2 linked regions of the Struthio camelus genome follow. The protein of the gene in region 1 interacts with the protein of each later gene in a pairwise test. Links are inferred from orthologs where the notes say so. Each region holds a gene or a part of one and is shown in the gene's direction. Other genes may lie near its edges. The genes, in order: KIF5B and PRKAR2B.

Evidence for each region.
Region 2: the proteins of KIF5B (region 1) and PRKAR2B interact in binary tests that used the Homo sapiens proteins (3 or more experiments, as listed by UniProt). The two-hybrid records come from large-scale screens. The link is inferred for Struthio camelus from reciprocal best matches to the Homo sapiens genes KIF5B and PRKAR2B.

Annotation. Positions count from the first base shown.
Region 1 is NC_090943.1:17,079,932-17,087,730, forward strand, and holds the start of KIF5B (kinesin-1 heavy chain), read left to right. Parts: upstream 1-4,717; 5' UTR 4,718-5,204; coding exon 5,205-5,330; intron 5,331-5,478; exon of another isoform or gene 5,479-5,540; coding exon of another isoform or gene 5,541-5,546; exon of another isoform or gene 5,547-6,041; coding exon of another isoform or gene 6,042-6,053; intron 6,054-7,799. UniProt on the Homo sapiens protein: Microtubule-dependent motor required for normal distribution of mitochondria and lysosomes. Can induce formation of neurite-like membrane protrusions in non-neuronal cells in a ZFYVE27-dependent manner.
Region 2 is NC_090942.1:16,003,012-16,011,132, forward strand, and holds the start of PRKAR2B (cAMP-dependent protein kinase type II-beta regulatory subunit), read left to right. Parts: upstream 1-4,992; 5' UTR 4,993-5,061; coding exon 5,062-5,380; intron 5,381-8,121. UniProt on the Homo sapiens protein: Regulatory subunit of the cAMP-dependent protein kinases involved in cAMP signaling in cells. Type II regulatory chains mediate membrane association by binding to anchoring proteins, including the MAP2 kinase.

The DNA of each region.
Region 1 (7,799 bases):
GAGTAACTGTGAGGGAATGGAGGTTGGAGGTTTTACTTCCAGTGCAAGCTTCAATAGGAAGCACTCTAAAGAATACGTTCATATGCCGTTTTTTCAAAGGTTGTTTATGATATGGACAGGCTTGAGTAGTTTTACATGATTAAAAGTAGAGCCTTGACATGGATTTCCCTATGAAATTTCAATCCTTAGGTTAACACTGCTATAACTTGTACAATAATTTTCCTTTAGCAACAACAACAAGCAATGTATCTCTAATCTTACTCTCAAAAACCACTACGCTATTTTTGCTGCCACTGTAAAAAAAAAAATTGCTTGAGGCAAGCACACAGCAAGCAAAAATACAAGCCAGTGGTGATTTTAGCAGAGATTACAAGCAATGGAAAAAGAAATTAGAATAGCCCTTCTCCAAATAAGACTCAGAATCAATGCTTTAGAGAGTAAGCTTACAGAATTTTTGCATGCTTTTGCATAAAGTAGCCAAAATAAACATATGTTATTCCTGGAGCTTAATTTTGCTTTTAATTGGTCTAATATTGTTAGAAACAATTAAATATGGTCTTAGTAATTAGGAGTAAATTAGAGGTCAACTTCTGCATTTTATGCCTTTCTAGTAAAAAAAAAAAAATAATTACTCATACTTATGACAAGAAATTTATGTGCATCAGGAGCTGCATCCTCAATGCATGTTTCATCCTGCTAGTTCATACTAAAGCCTAAACTTGACTGGGACAGGAAACACATTCCAACATTGAATCATTTGGTGGAGCAAAAGGAAGCTTTATAATTTTATAACTGAATGAGACCTTTAGATAATCGAGTTTGACTCCAGTAGTATCTTAGGCCACTGAATTTCACCCATTCAACCTTCTGTTAATCTCAGCTTAGTTAGCTACTGAGTTCCCCAAGCTGAATTGACTGAACACGCTCAGTTTGTTTGCTGGTAAAGAGACTTTAAAATGTATTTGAATAAGCTGTCTGAAATAAAATCTTGTTACTTCTAATGAAGGCTTTTCCAGTGTCAAGCAATGACACTAGACTTCACAAATTATCTTAAGAACCTTTATTGACAGAGGGTGTTACACGTAACAAAGAATTTTGTTCCAAGTGCAGCACATCTAGCAAACTAATCACCCATTTGTCCTACAAGTCGATTTACAAATTCAGAATAAACTTGACCTAGAATGCACCTTAGATTCTGAAAAGTAGTGTGCTATATTTTTCCAGCATATTGCAAATCAAAATGAAAAGAGCACTTGTGTTTGCATCAGGAACACTGAATTTCAACAAGTACTGTCAACTGATGAATCTACCATCTCAGAATTTCATTCTTTAAGGGGCAGGAGGAAGCAGCTTTAATTTGCTTCTCTGCAAACACCTGCTTTAAAGATTTATCCAAATATGCAATATTCTTTTAAGATCAAATCAAGATTACTGTCACTCTGCCAAAACAATTTTCATGGTTAATTACATCAATATCCAGATAGAGTTTCACTGTAAGCCCCTTTGCTGAACATGCTGATCTTTTAATGCCAGGAAGATACTAGAGATCTAAAGGAACTGCAAATCATAAAAGAATTTCTAGAGGATTATTGCACAGATCATAGATGAGAAGAAACATAGCGAACTAGTAGATATAAAGTGGTTAGATAAACTACTTTTATTAAAAGACGTTGGTCTTTACTGAGAAACTTTACTATACTTGTTTATTAGATAAATTGTTTCTTTAGAAAATATATTTCACTTATGAGGCTCAAGTATCAGATGGAAAGATTCACTTTTTAATGACAACTAATATGCCATATTTTCTCACTATAACAGACTTTAAACGGTCTTTCACCCTAAATAATTGAAAAAGTATGGTATAAACAGGTAATTACATATTCCAGAAGAAGTAAAATATATTTCCAATTAAAAATGAAAGAGAATTTTTTCATCGTGACAAAATTGGAAACTTGGCAGGACATTTGGTCTCTGCCCTGCTTTTGGGAAAGCGGCACCACATCTTTAAGCACAAGTCATCAAGACTGCTGTTTGATATCCTATTTTAGAGCCAACAGAGATAACACACTGCTCTCTTTGAATATGCTGCAGCATTGTTAGACTGTAAATAGGTCACGTAAAAGAATGGTTGCTGAACATTTTGAAGAGCAGACCACAGAAGACAATCTTCATGACCGAATACCTGGAATGAATACGAGAACACGCATGTTTAGTTCAAGGGAACTCATTTAGTAAGGTTTCCCATAGCCAGTATGGGAGATACCGTCAACCACGGTCTCCCACGAGCTTGCATGGAACCAACAGCCTAGAAGCGGTCAGATCCTTCTACACAGTTCACACATCCCGGTATTTTTTTGTTACAGCATAATTAAAAAGAGCAACTACCTATTCACGAGTCTATACTGTCTCTTTGTAAAGTGTATGCTGTTTGAAACATTGAAAAGATAAGCAGGCCTAAGCATTTATTTTCTCGAGAACCATTTCATTACGAGCTTTTTTCCTTTACCGAGTTGTTCTTACTTTGAGTACTGTGTGTCAGCAAATGTAGCTAATGATATATCCCCTTCGGTTGTGGATAATGATAATGACAAGTTTCCCAAATAGACTAGGGTAAAGGATACATCACCAGCTGAAACATTCTGGGAGTAATAATCATGAAGTTGTTGATTTTGCAGCTAACATTTATTTTTCCTCACTTATTAAAGAAAACGAATTGCAAAAGTAGTAAATAGTTTATGTGCCCTTCATAAAAATAATAACCTCCTGTCACAGGAAATCTGTAAGGATCCAAACCCAGCAGCTGTACAAACATATGCCTACCCATAAGCACGTGGACAGTCCAAGAAATAGTTGAGTTAGACATATTAATATATCTTGCTGACTGGGATTTAAATTCACAAATTCTAAAATAGAATTCAACAAAAATAGGCTTTCTCACATTTTAAGGAGAACCACCATTATATTTTATTGACAATACGTTTCATTGAAACAGTTAAGCAGAACCATCATATGCTAGATGCTGTGGGGCAGCAGTGCACCTTCTGCAGGCGGAGTATACAGCCTGGCCTTATCAAACAGCTAAAGAGCGCTGGTAGGTTGGGTGGTGTAATTGTTGCTGCTCCGATCAAGGCGGCATAGTCCTGCAGCAGTTTTAACTACAGCAGAAAAATAAACTTGTTACAACATGATCTCAATTTAGAAGACTTAGAGCTTACCTCAGAACATCAAACAAGGTGCAAAAAATATTTTTTCTATGACAGTATGAAAAAAAGCTGTAGACGAAATTAGGTTATTAGGTAACTTTCCTGCCATGTGGATTAGCATGGAGAAATTTTGAAGCAACATCCGCCTTCTTTACCTATACTAAGTAAAAACACACCATTCAAAACCCTGCAGTAAGAAGGGCCTTGAAAATGGAGGCTGCTTGATTTCAGATGGTCCCTATTAAAATTCACAAACATGTACCCTTTTCTAATGAAAAAGAGAGTACTTTCAAAGGAATGACATTGCTATTCTGAGTCGTTCTGGCCTACTAAAATTTACTAATTTAAGAGGACTCCCTCATTTTTCATTAATTTCAAGGCCATTTTAAAAGTTTCCAGCACAGATGGCGATTTCTGACAGGAAGTTGACTTACTGAGCTGAGCTGTAAATCTGTACTTTGACCCGGTTTGAAAGTTCATATTATACCTAGATGTAAAGGGGTATGGCAGTAAAATCTTGAAACTCTTCTGAGAGCCTCTGATCTGAATGGCTTACCTAACAACTTTTTAAATCTAGATACCGTCAGTAAATATCCATGGATTAGCATTGCAGTTCTATTTAATCTGTATTGAATAAAACTTGTGATAAAGGAAACTTTAGAAAACTATCGTGCATATTCTTTCTTCATTGGAACGGAAAGGTAGGGAGAGACTTCTTCACGGGAAACGAACTGTAAAGGCTGTGTATCCTTGCAACGCCCTCCTAAGAACGTGACCTGCAGACTCCCTAGCCCCACAAGACCTCCATAGGTTTCCGGAAAAGGAATTAGTTCGGGGGAAATTTTGAAAATACTGACAGTTCCATTGGCAGGCTTTCTGTGCATACTCATGCTTTTTTTTTTTTTTTTTTTAATTCTGCTGAACAAAGGCAAAAAAGAGTCAAGACAGTTCGGAGGTTTCTCTCTCCAGCGCCTTAACTTCACGCCCGCTAAAGCTGGTAGGTCAGTTTTCAGGCTCGCCCTGCCTTGGAGGGCCGGCCCGGCCGCAGGCAGAGGGCTGTGTCGCGCCCCCCCCTCACAGCCACGAAGCGCCCGGCGCCGGCCGTTAGCGCGGGAACGCCGCCGCCTGCCTGAGGCGCGCGCCCCGTCCCCTCAGGGCTAACGGCCCCTGAGGGCCCCGGCCCCTCAGGGAGACGAGGTCTCCCGCCATGCGGTACCGTGGCCAACGTTAGCCCCGGCCGTGCGCCCGCAAAACGGCTCCGCTGCGTGCGTGAGGGGAGCGGGGGCGGGGGGGTGGGGGGACGCTGGCCACGGTCACGGCCACGGTCAGGCTAGGTACAGCGGGCGGGACGAAGCTCTCACACGCGCCCCTATCACACCCTTCTCCCCAGGCTCGGAGGGAGCCACGCCCCCACAAGACCACGCCCCCACAAGACCACGCCCCCCACAAGACCACGCCCCCACAAGACCACGCCCCCACAAGACCACGCCCCCTCGCGCTGGCTGCGCCTGCCCGGTGCGAGCGTTGGCACCCCCGACGCCTATCCTCCCGCCGGGTGGTCTCCCTCCCTCCTCCCCAGCGACGGCTTCGCGCCTGCGCCGTCGAGCTCCCGTCGTGGCCGGGCCCCTCGCCTGTGCCCCGCCGCGCCTGCGCGGCACCTCCGAGCCGAGGGGGCGGGGTTGGGGGGGGGGGGGTTCTGCAGAGGGTGACGTCACCGCCTCTTTGCCCTGCCGTCCGCGCCGCCTCTGCCCGGGAGGGGAGGGTCGGGACTTGCCGGCTGCAGGCGCCGCCATGGCTGCCATATTGGGGAGGAAGTGAGAGCAGGAGGCGGCCGTGGCGGCCAGGAAGGAGCCCTTCCCTTTTCCCTTCTGCTTAGGCGGACGCGGGCCTCCCGGCAGCGGCGGCAACGGCGGCTTGTGAGACCCCCGGAGCGGGCGGCGCAGAGGCAGCAGCGGGTAGCGGCGGAGCTGAGCGCCCCGGAGGCGGCGGCGTTGGCCTAAGATGGCGGACCCGGCGGAGTGTAACATCAAAGTGATGTGTCGCTTCAGGCCCCTCAACGAGTCCGAAGTGGCCCGTGGCGACAAGTACGTCGCCAAGTTTCAAGGCGAAGACACCGTCGTCATCGCGGTGAGGGGCCGCCCCGGATGGGAAAGGCGGGGGGTGGGGAGGAAGGCGCCGGGGGGAGGGGGTGTGCGGGCGGTGGGGTCACATACCGCGGGGATGGGCGCGGTGTGAGGCGAGAGGCTGGGCCGCGGCGGAGAGGGGTGGCTGTTTTGGGGTGGGGGGGAGTGGGAAGGGGAGGAGGGCAGGGCAGAGCGGTAAAGAGAACCGGCTAGGATGGAGGTGGGCATGGCGGGGCAGAGAGGAGAGCTCGGGGAGCGGTTGGAGGGGGTGCATCCCCTGGCCGTGCATGTGTGGTTGCAGGACGTTCCCGTGGTAGCAGGTCAGGAAACATGGACAAAGGCTCTAGCAAAAGGCTTGCAACTTGGGGCGTAACTGGAGTTGTCGTTGCTGAGCCCGAGCCACAGGGCAGGCTTCACTGTGGCCACGGAAGACGTGCGAGTTAGGAGCTGGAGCAACAGACGAGTCCTGCAGAGTGTCCCCTGGCTAGGCTGCGCCTGGTTTTGGCCACCGTGAAGAGTTTGGCCGCTGAATAAATAGTCGTTCAAAAAGTGTGCATTGGAACTAGCAGCGACGTAATTATCAACAGAAAGATTTTAGAAAGAAAACGCGCAGCAACGTGAGCTCTGCTTGACTGATCTGTAAATCAGTCATGGGCTGATAACTTCTTTTAAAGAAGAATGAACTGAGACTTTTTGACTTATTACATGTTTATGAATGCGTTTTAACGTAAGTCATCTAATAAGGTATGAGAGCTTTTACATAGCAATCTGAAAGTTTCAGGGGAGAAGATAGTCCTAGCCTTGCTGTTCATTGTGTCACATTTAGCTACAAAGTGGAGCTGGAACATAAAGCACAGTAGCTTATTGCCTGGTTTAGTTGGTATTCTGCAAATACGCGCTTTATTCCCAATGCTTGTGTTCTATCTCTGCTAACTTTTAATCATTCTCTAGAGACGATCCTGGTTCTGCATTGCTAAACGCAGAACTTAGAAATGTCAGTTGATTATTTTTCTTTAAATTTTGTTTTTGTTACTCTCTTTGTTAAGGTTACCAGTACTACCTCTTTCTCACAGTATCTGAACTTTGAAGAAGACATTAATAGCATCAGTTTTTTTTAAATATGTCATATTAAATACTAGTGCTTTATTCTGTTTGAATTCAACTGATTTTGCAAATACAATATGGAATTCCATCAGTTCTCAGCTGCAAGAAAACTAGAGTGCTTGTGAAATGAGGTAAATTTGGGCCTCTTTCAGCTGACAAGTTGTTAACTTGGAGTAGACCTCTTCTGACTGAGGTGGTACAGGTAAACTCCTCAGAGTAAGGAACTAAGCCTAGAAATGGAAATTAGAAATGGAAAACTAGAACAAATGATCTCACTCCATCAATGAGTATCCATTCATTGTGACACTGTATGATCTCTTTAAAATCCAGGATTAATTTCACAATTTTTTTTTTTCTGACTTTTTCATAGATGATGCATTTTCCACATCTTTTTTTTTCTTTCAGTAATTCTTGGGCTAAATTACAGCCGTTTCTAATGAAGTACACATCAAATAAGAAAAAGGAGGTGATCTGGAATGGACTTTAAAATGTTATTTCCACCCATGCGTTGCAGGTTGAATAGAATCTTCTGCATTCTCATCTGCAATAGTCTGCTTCTCACAATTAGACAGTTTAATTAGACAATTTAAAATTTTTTTAAGGCATTTACTACCAAACATTAAAACTAGAATTTCTCGTTGTTTGTGAATTGAGGAGAAAACTTTTATAGTGTTTAGATAGTCTTTAAATACTCTTTAAAATGTCTAAAATGTAAATTGGGCTGAGGTGGCACTAAATCTGTGTGGATCAATGTGATGTCATGGTCCTGAAGGAAAATGCAGGGCTCTTGCTGGGATTTGGTAGGGAGCTGGTATTTTTTATAACTTTGTCTAGTTTTAGTGTTTTCTGCATGAGGAAAAAACAAAAAATCCTTCAGTGATCTCAGGTCCAAGACTTGCTGTGTCTGACCTTGGAGAAAATACTGAAAAAAACCCATTAGATTATGGGAGCAGTGATGGTACTCGAGTCTTATTTTAATAGAGGATTGATGTTCTGGGATTCTGCTGTGTGTTTTTTTTTCGTTTTGTTTGTTTTGTTTTTAGTTGACTGAAGTTTTAAAAAGTTACCTTCCAACCTGAGGATATAGCTATCCAAACACATCTTGCCTGTGTTTTGTGGAATTGCTAAAGGGAGGACAGTAAAAGAAGCAGCTCTTCTCATGAAATGGTTTCTAAAAACATTTCTCCATAAGCTGTATGTTTGGTTGCTTTCAACTGTTTATTAGAATTTCTGTGTTTACAGCTACATGTGATATTGTCTGCCATTTGAACAGTGAGTTGAGCCTCTTTTTATTTATTATGTATATTTGCTTCCCTTGTCTGCTATTGCCCTCGAGCAGCCTGATGGAGGCTTCTGTTATGGCTTCTGT
Region 2 (8,121 bases), on another chromosome or scaffold:
TTGTACACTAGCCATTGCATTATCAAGAGCCCACAGAGGAAAACACTGGTACACAACTACAGAGATTTTAATGTAAATATAAAACATGAAGGGATTTTCATGTTGCCTGTCAGCAACTTTTAACCATGCAGAATGCAAAGTCCGTCTACATTTAAGCTTGCAAAAGTCAGGACAAAGATTTAAGATAAGACCAAACCATACATCTTTAAAAAAACAGGAAATACAGAGAGTAACATCTCCCACACCCAAACTTCAGTCCTTTCCCAGTACACTGCAATAGGTATAGGGCCAATTTTTGTCTTGTGTTTTCTCCAGTACAGTATGTACTTTCATTCTCATCAAGGGCAACTTTTGGGAATTGCTAGGCTGCCAACTTAGGAGAGAGGCTACTACAGCTGAAGAGATTCAGGTCCCTTATTTCTGGGCTAGCTGTGCAGTTGATCCAAGCAGATAATAATAGTTCTTCTCACCTCCAAGAAGGTAATAGAGAGTTTCTTTAAAAGCCTGTACTCCACTAGTATGCTTGTAAAAGTTACTTTCCACTCTAGAGAAAAGGCTTTATACAGTTTTACACTCACGGTGTCAAGTACACATTTCTGCCCACTATGTATTGCATGAATTGCACGCCAGAGCTTAGTCAGGGTTAATCAGAAGATGGGTCTTGGAGAAAACGTCTTTGGAAGGTTGGGAGAAAGCTATTCAGATCAGCTGGAACTTGGCAAGAGGAAGCCTTGTCGGCTGTTAGGTGGACTCAGTTTGCTCAAATGTACTAAATTTACTAAATTTAAATCTATTCTGACAAAGACAAGGCTTTAAAGTCTGTCCTCTCTTCCTTCTGCACTCTATTCATTGTCCTCTACATGCTCAGAAAAGATCTTGTTCTCTGACCTCTGAGAGAAGCGGTCCCAACCGCTGTCCAAAGCACGCTGTCTGAAATTGTCGTGTAGGAGGCATCGGGCTTCCTATTTTTCATTACGAGTTGTATTCTCTTAGTTCTTCCATACCTCAAATCACTTGAAGGGACAGACTGAGACAAAGGCTGGTAACCTGCGTGTAATGGGGAATGCATTGATGGGTAGCAGGAAAGGAGACCACAAGAGTCTTTACTTCACTTTCTTGGTTATTGTGAGAGTAATGTTGGGCCCAAGCCCTTTGCTGTACAGAAGGATTTTTGAAGTTTTTATATGCTCTTTCACTTCAAGATGACATTTTCATTTGAACTAGAATGACACACAGAAATTAGTGCAAACTAACAAAGGTGGTCAGAGAGGTGTGAACCGATCCTCTCATTACCTAACTGATTGTTCTGCTACAGTATAATACATTTTGGGGAACTGCCCTCCCTATGAGGATTTAAAAGCAATTTACATGTCAGGACAAGCTCCTTGGAACGGAAAGTTTCTAAGGTAACCAAATGACAGCAATGTGAACCACAAAGTTCACTGCCATTCTTTGAGATATTCCAAAACTCAAGATAAGTCTCACTAGATACATGCATTTTAGGCTGTTTTGAAAATTTAAAAAAAAAAAATCGTTCTTTAGAGCACCACCTATCTGGAATCTCTTATTCTAATTTTCCCAGTTTTGCATACTAACACCAAGACCACCAACAGGACAACAGTTTGCCTATTAAAACCAGGTGCTCCATCAATGGTCTAATCCTGTTGGCCAAAAGACCTCAAATGTTTACCTTTCCCCCAAAGAATAAAAAATCGTTTCAAAACAATCTGAGCATGCTTACAGATCTCAGAGCACTTTGAAATACTTCTTTTTCAAGAAAAAAATCTATTCCGGAGCAAAGGTTTTGAAGAAGGCTGGCTGCAACCTTCTGCCCAAGTAACGTGCACAGCAGAAGTTTTAGAAATCTTTCAAGAACAAGGCTTAAACTAACAATGAGAAAGAAATGCTTTGTTCCAGTAGATGTATCTAAAGAAAATTGCTTGTTTCCAGGGAATGCTAGTAGTATCTGTTCTGCATCAACTCCCTAGATAGACATGATAGACTATTCCTAGGCTCTTCCGAGAGCTGCGTCCAGGATGCTGACACAGGATGGGCCCACGTGCAACAACATTGCAGACTCCTGGAATAGCCCTTTTTATGTCCATATTGCATGCCTACGTTGCCTGGCATCTGACTCCTCTGCTGACTAGTACTGATGCAGGTTGGAAAGGAAGGCAAGAAAAGAATCGGGGCACCCAGCTGAAATATATTCATTCCTGATAAGCCCAATACACTGGCTGATGAAGGTGGGAACTACTCTATGATTTTTGCATTGCCACAAGAACAAGTAAGATTTACCACTGGCATTATGTTTGCTGACTTTCAGACAAAGTGCTTGGAGTTTGTGCGGGACAAGAACAAATAGTGTGGGGAGGAGAAGGCCTCCCTGCAGCAAGGGTAGCCCAGTGTCCAAATAAAATCATCACTGGGCTTTCCTACAAAAGCTAAGTCTGTTACTGCTAGATAGAGGAAATGACATTTTTGATCGAGGTCACAGGTTCCTCTGGATTTTCACAGGTTGCTAAAATAAAGCTAAGAACACGTGAAGAAGGACAAGTGATAACTCAAAATTTGGAGCCAAGCTCCTGATCACAGAAAGACATCACTGTAGATCATTCCCTACCCCTGTCTCCTCTTGGCTAATGAGTGTATCAGAGCTGTACTTTCCAGATCCTGATAGCTGTATCATCAAGTCCCCAGTCTTATTAAGAGATTCACTGGAGTTTAGCTCCTGCTCCTTAGACAGACTGTGGCTGCGTCCCTGAAGAGTAAAAAGTAGAGAGCAAAGCCTGGCTCTTCAGGATGTCCTCAGAGAAGCAATCTCCTTTCACTTCCACCATGCCTAGGAGGATGGGAGGCCCTAGCAAGCCAGCAAAATCCTTGATCAGAGGGTGAAGGACTCTGTGCTGCTGATAAATTCCTAGTAATAGAGAGCTCTGTCTGGCTAACGGAAAACCTCAGGGATAACTATGCGTTTAGCCCCTGAAGACTCCAGTAGATGGAGTATCACAGGCTGAAAGAACGCCTTGCAACGGCAAGGTGCCAAGTGGTTAGCTGGACCTAGTGTCAGATACTTCCCCTTCTGGAGGTTTCCTCCAAGTTGGGTATCTCTCAACCTGATCACGATCAGGTCAACGCTCTTAGTGGTGTGAGAGGGCTTTTAAGCTATGCACCCCTTAAACTTACAAGTGAGCCAATTTGGCATCTCTAGCTATAGCTAAACACCCTCTAGAATGACCAAGGTGTGCAACTGTCCGTAACATACAGGTGCCAGCTCTCCTGTGGCCCTTGATTCTTGTCCCCAGTAGCACACGTGGCTGCATGGTACCCCTGCGCTGATTTGTAAAGGCAGACGGGGCGGGCGGCATTGGCAGCCAGTAGTGGCAGGATGTTGCTCAAAGGTATTCCACAACTCCATCGCTCAGTACAGAGCAGCAATATCGCCATGCGTGAATGGATCACTCTCCCCATTCATTTGGCAGGTCTAGAACAGTTTGAAGATCCAGCTTACAAAACAAACTCCAATTTGAAATTGCTTCCACGGGGAGCAGTGCATTCCATCTGGACACTACTTCAATTAAAAATGGCTTTGAGATCCTCATTTGCATGAAAAGATTGCTATATTTTGTTGCCATGTGGCTTTCTTCAAGCTAGGTCTTTCAGTATCTCCTTGCTATTACGGACACAAATTTTGACTGCTTACCTCACCCTAAGCCCCGATGGAATACATTTCAAGGCAATTTGAGTAATCCAGAATGCTTCGTGAAATCAATTATCACAAAGCACTTTCAACCTTAGACGTTTTAGCAGTCAATTCTCTTAGTGCATGAAAATAAGACTCTAACAGAAATTTCTGAACCCTCAAAAGGTTGGCCAGATTTTGTGATCAGCAATTACGGAGCGATGCACTTTTCATGCATTTCAAGGACCTCGCCTTCAGGAAGCGTTTAGCAAAGCCTGATGGAAAAGCACAGCACCCGCAACTGCTACTCGCTTTAAAAAAACGAAGCTCACCAGAAACGACAAGCAGCACCTACCACAAGGGTCCTAGGCGCTCCGCGGCCCGAGTCGAAAGGGTTTACGCCGAGCACAGCCGTACGGCGCTCTTTACGTGCACGGTCTTTATTACAACTGTTTTCTTTTTTCCAGCTGCATTATTTATGCGTTTAGACAAGCAGCTGACCAACAGGATGCATTTCCTAACCCCTCCAATCCTAAGTTCTATATATGAACATAAATAGATGCATATACATGTATATATATGTATGTATAGGTATATGAATGGTGTGGGGAACATCTTTAGGAGGGCAGAACGGGACGCGCTACGCCTCCCTGAGAAAAGCACAATAGCAATTAAAAGCGAGCCCAGCGCGGGGCCGGGCCGGGCCGGGCCGGGCCGGGGGGTGTTTCACGGAGGGGGGCGCAGCAGGGGCGCCAAGGGCCCTCCGGCCTTGCCGAGGCGGCGCCGCCGCCGCTGGGCCCGGGCGGCGAGGCCGGGGCGGCCCTGGCCCCCTGCGGGCGCCTCCCGCCTCGGGGGGCGCCGAGGGCTCGGGCCGGGCCGGGCCGGGGCCGGGGCCGCCCGCCCTCGCTGCCTGCCGGCGGGGGCGCGGGCGCGGGCGGGGGCGGGGGCGCTGCGGGCCGCCGTTCCCGGCGGGAGGTTGTCATGGTTTCGCGGGTCACATGCGCGCGAGGTTCCCTCGGCGCGGGGAGAGGGGAGGGGGGAGGCGGCGGCGGCGGCGGCGGCGGGGACGGGGGCGGGGAGGTTTCAGTCACGGACGGGGCCGCCGCCGCCTGCTGCCGCCGCGCCGAGTGCGGGGCGAAGCGGAGCGAGACGCTGCGGCCGCCGCCGCCGCCGAGCCGCCCGCCCGCGGCTGCCAGCTGCGCCCTGCCCTCCGCCGCTGCCCCGGGCGGCCGGCCGGCCGGGCGCGCCTCCGCCTCGGCCTCGGGCTGCCGGTGCTGCCCGGCTGGCTGCGGCTCGGCGGCCTCTGCCCGCCCTTCCGCGCTCCCTCCGCCTGCCGCCCGCCGTCCCTGCCCGGGCTGCGGCCCCCGGCCGGCCCCGGCATGAGCATCTCCATCCCGGCGGGGCTGACGGAGCTGCTGCAGGGCTTCACGGTGGAGGTGCTGCGCAGGCAGCCCGCGGACCTGCTGGACTTCGCCCTCCAGTACTTCGGGCGCCTCAAGGAGGAGGCGGCGGCCGAGAAGGAGAAGGAGAAGGAGGCGAGCGGCCGCAAAGGGGACTCGCCCGCGCCGGGCCATGACCGCGCCCGGGGCAGCCTGCCGCCGCGCCGGGCCCCCGCCGACGCCCGCGGCGTCAACTTCGCCGAGGAGCCCATGCAGAGCGACTCGGAGAGCGGCGAGGAGCAGGAGGAGGCGTTCCCGGGTGAGGGGCCGGGGCCGGGGCGCGGGCGGCGGCCGGGCCGGGCCGGGCCGGGCCGGGCGGCGGGGTCTGTCCGGCCGCCGACGCTGGCAGCTCCGCGCCCCGCGCAAGGCGGCGCCGGGGCCGGCGGGGGTGTCGCCCCGGGGGCGCTCCGCTCGTCCGCCGCTGCCAGGAGGCCACCGGGGCGCCAAGGGTGTGGGGGTTGCTTTTTTTGTGGTGGTGGTGGTGGTTGTTCATTAGCCGAGCGCCGCGCTGCCGTTCCCACCTCACGAAACACCTTTCTCTTGGGCGCGTCGCTGCGTCCACGCAGCCCGGTCAAACATTTTCCGTGGCCGCAACGTGTGGTTCGTATAAATCAGCACAGCGGAATCGCAGGAAGCGAAATCTCTTAGGGAGGAACAAAAAGAAAGAAAGAAAAAGTCAGGTGGAAACTGTGCGGGATGGAGAAGGGCCTACGGCGCGGGCGTCGCGGCGAGGGCAGCCCGGCGCGCGCACGCCGCCTCCGCTCCCAGCCGAGGGCAACACCTGTCTGCCGGCAGCCGGCGGCCTTGGTGCGGCCTTGGTGTGCCTGCCCGGGTGAGCGAGCAGCACCGTGTCCATCTACCGGACCAACCCGATTTATGGGACCAGCGGGAGCTGTCCCGCACGGGTGCGTGGCACCCGGTCCTTGTGCCGCCAGCAGGCTCGCGGAGAGGTCCGTCGGTGTAAGGTGCGCCGGAGAAGAGCAAGACGGCGTCAAAGCATCTTTATCGTTAGCTTGAGCAGCTTGAAATTGAAGTATACCTCATCAGGTCATCGAAGGACTGGTCCTCCTCGGTCATGCTGAAGGTGGCTTTGCTCAGCAGAGCACAGAAGCCAGCTGTTTGCTAGATGAGTATCAGTGTCGTTTTTAAAATAATGTCTTACGTGCATTTTATCAGGAAAAAAACCCTGGATGTTTAAGAACTGGGAAAGTTTTCGGGATGCTTTGTGTTACGCTGTAATATAGTCGGCATTCCTTTCGTCTCTTCTTTGCAGCTGTAGCTGGGGGTGTATAATTAATGAGAATTTGAATCCGTCCATCAGGTTCTGCAGATGTACGTGGTGATTTTGAACTCTGACGCTATGTTGTCTATAACACCGGCAAAAATTGGGAAATTATAATAAAAAAGCCTAATATATTCTGAAAGTTTAATTATATTGTGACTCGTAATTTGTGCCGGTTGGAATAATTAATAACTGAAAGTATGAAAATGGAAATATTTTTGAAACCACATGGAAGGTGTATTAATGAGTACATTATAGTAAATTATTAATAAGTGTGTGCCTGTGCACACACACATTGCACGGGAGAGTGTATGTTAAGTGCAAGTTTTACATCTACCTTGAATATCTGTTCTTCAGAAGTAGCACAGCAATGCATCCGCTCAGCCTTTTGTTAATAAGTGGAGGCATAAAGCCTGGTCTTTAAATCATTGTTTAATGGGTTTAAATATCTATTTAAAAGTGTATTTCTTTTCTGCTTTTACTTTCTGTTTTTGTAAGTAGCAATTCTTGAATGCAAGCTGGAGGAAAAAATCTGTTTTTTTTTCTTTTTTTTTTTTGCTTTTGTCTTTGTGAGTAATCAGACTGCTTCAATATAATCAGTCTGTCCTACTGGTGTACTGTTGTCATACAAGAGAGGAAAACAAATTGCGAGAGTTTATAAGCAAAAGTAAATGAAAAAAAAAAATTCCGGCAAGGAGCTTAGACCTGTCTGCAGTACCTTTTTTGTTGAAGCAGAATTCTTGTTAAATCAACTTGACAATATTTCCTAATTTGCTTATTCAAACAGGTCCTTGTTGTTAGGGGCTTGTTGTAATTGCTATTGTCTCCAACTCCTTTTTTTTCCAGTACATGTTTCTGAATTCCTGCAAACACTGCAGCTGAACACTTTGTCCGCATTAGTTTTGTCCTTGAAATATATTTTGTAAGATACATAAGCATTATTCCATTTTAGAAATGATGAGTTGAGGTATAAGCTATGTTAAGAAATTTACCGTACTCAGGATTAAGAGTTGTATGCGAGCCAAGAATTAAACTGTGTTCGGGTCCTAGTCTGTGTCCATTACATCAGTTGCAGAAATCAAGCCACAATTAAGACCGTTACCTTGTGTGGCTTGCAGTTCTTTGCAGTATTGCTGTCGTAATTCTGAATTAGCACCTGTAGTTAATGTGACCTCTGAAGCAACATTGTTCAAGTTCAGAACATTTAGAGTATCACCTTCTGAACACACTGCTTAATTTGGAAATGATTTTGAGATCTTCTAGTTTCTTTAATATTAAGTTGTCCTACACAGGTGTATGAGTTTTAGTCAATCTGCAGGAATAACTCCTGTTAATACTAGTAGGAATTACTTAAATTGGATAGGACTTAGTTACAGTAGCGTACATAAAATTGAGCCCATTTTTAGAAAATTCCTCTAATTTTTTGAAAGTTTGAAATGTGTATAACAACGTATTATGCTGTATCTGTGCAAAACTTGAAGATGCTCACTAAGTTATTTGTCTGCTTTCAAATGCCTATACTTTTCTCCTTACATTAGCATTTAGAATTTAAGGTGTACCTTATTTTGATGGATAAAGACCCACATAATTTGTATCAGTTGTTTTAAAATATTTGCTTGTAGCTAAAATTCATATTTCATCTAGCCTTAATATGATTTAGTAGAGAGGTTTTTAGGAATAATTTTGGTATTCTTTACACTCCTGTAAATTGCAGTGCT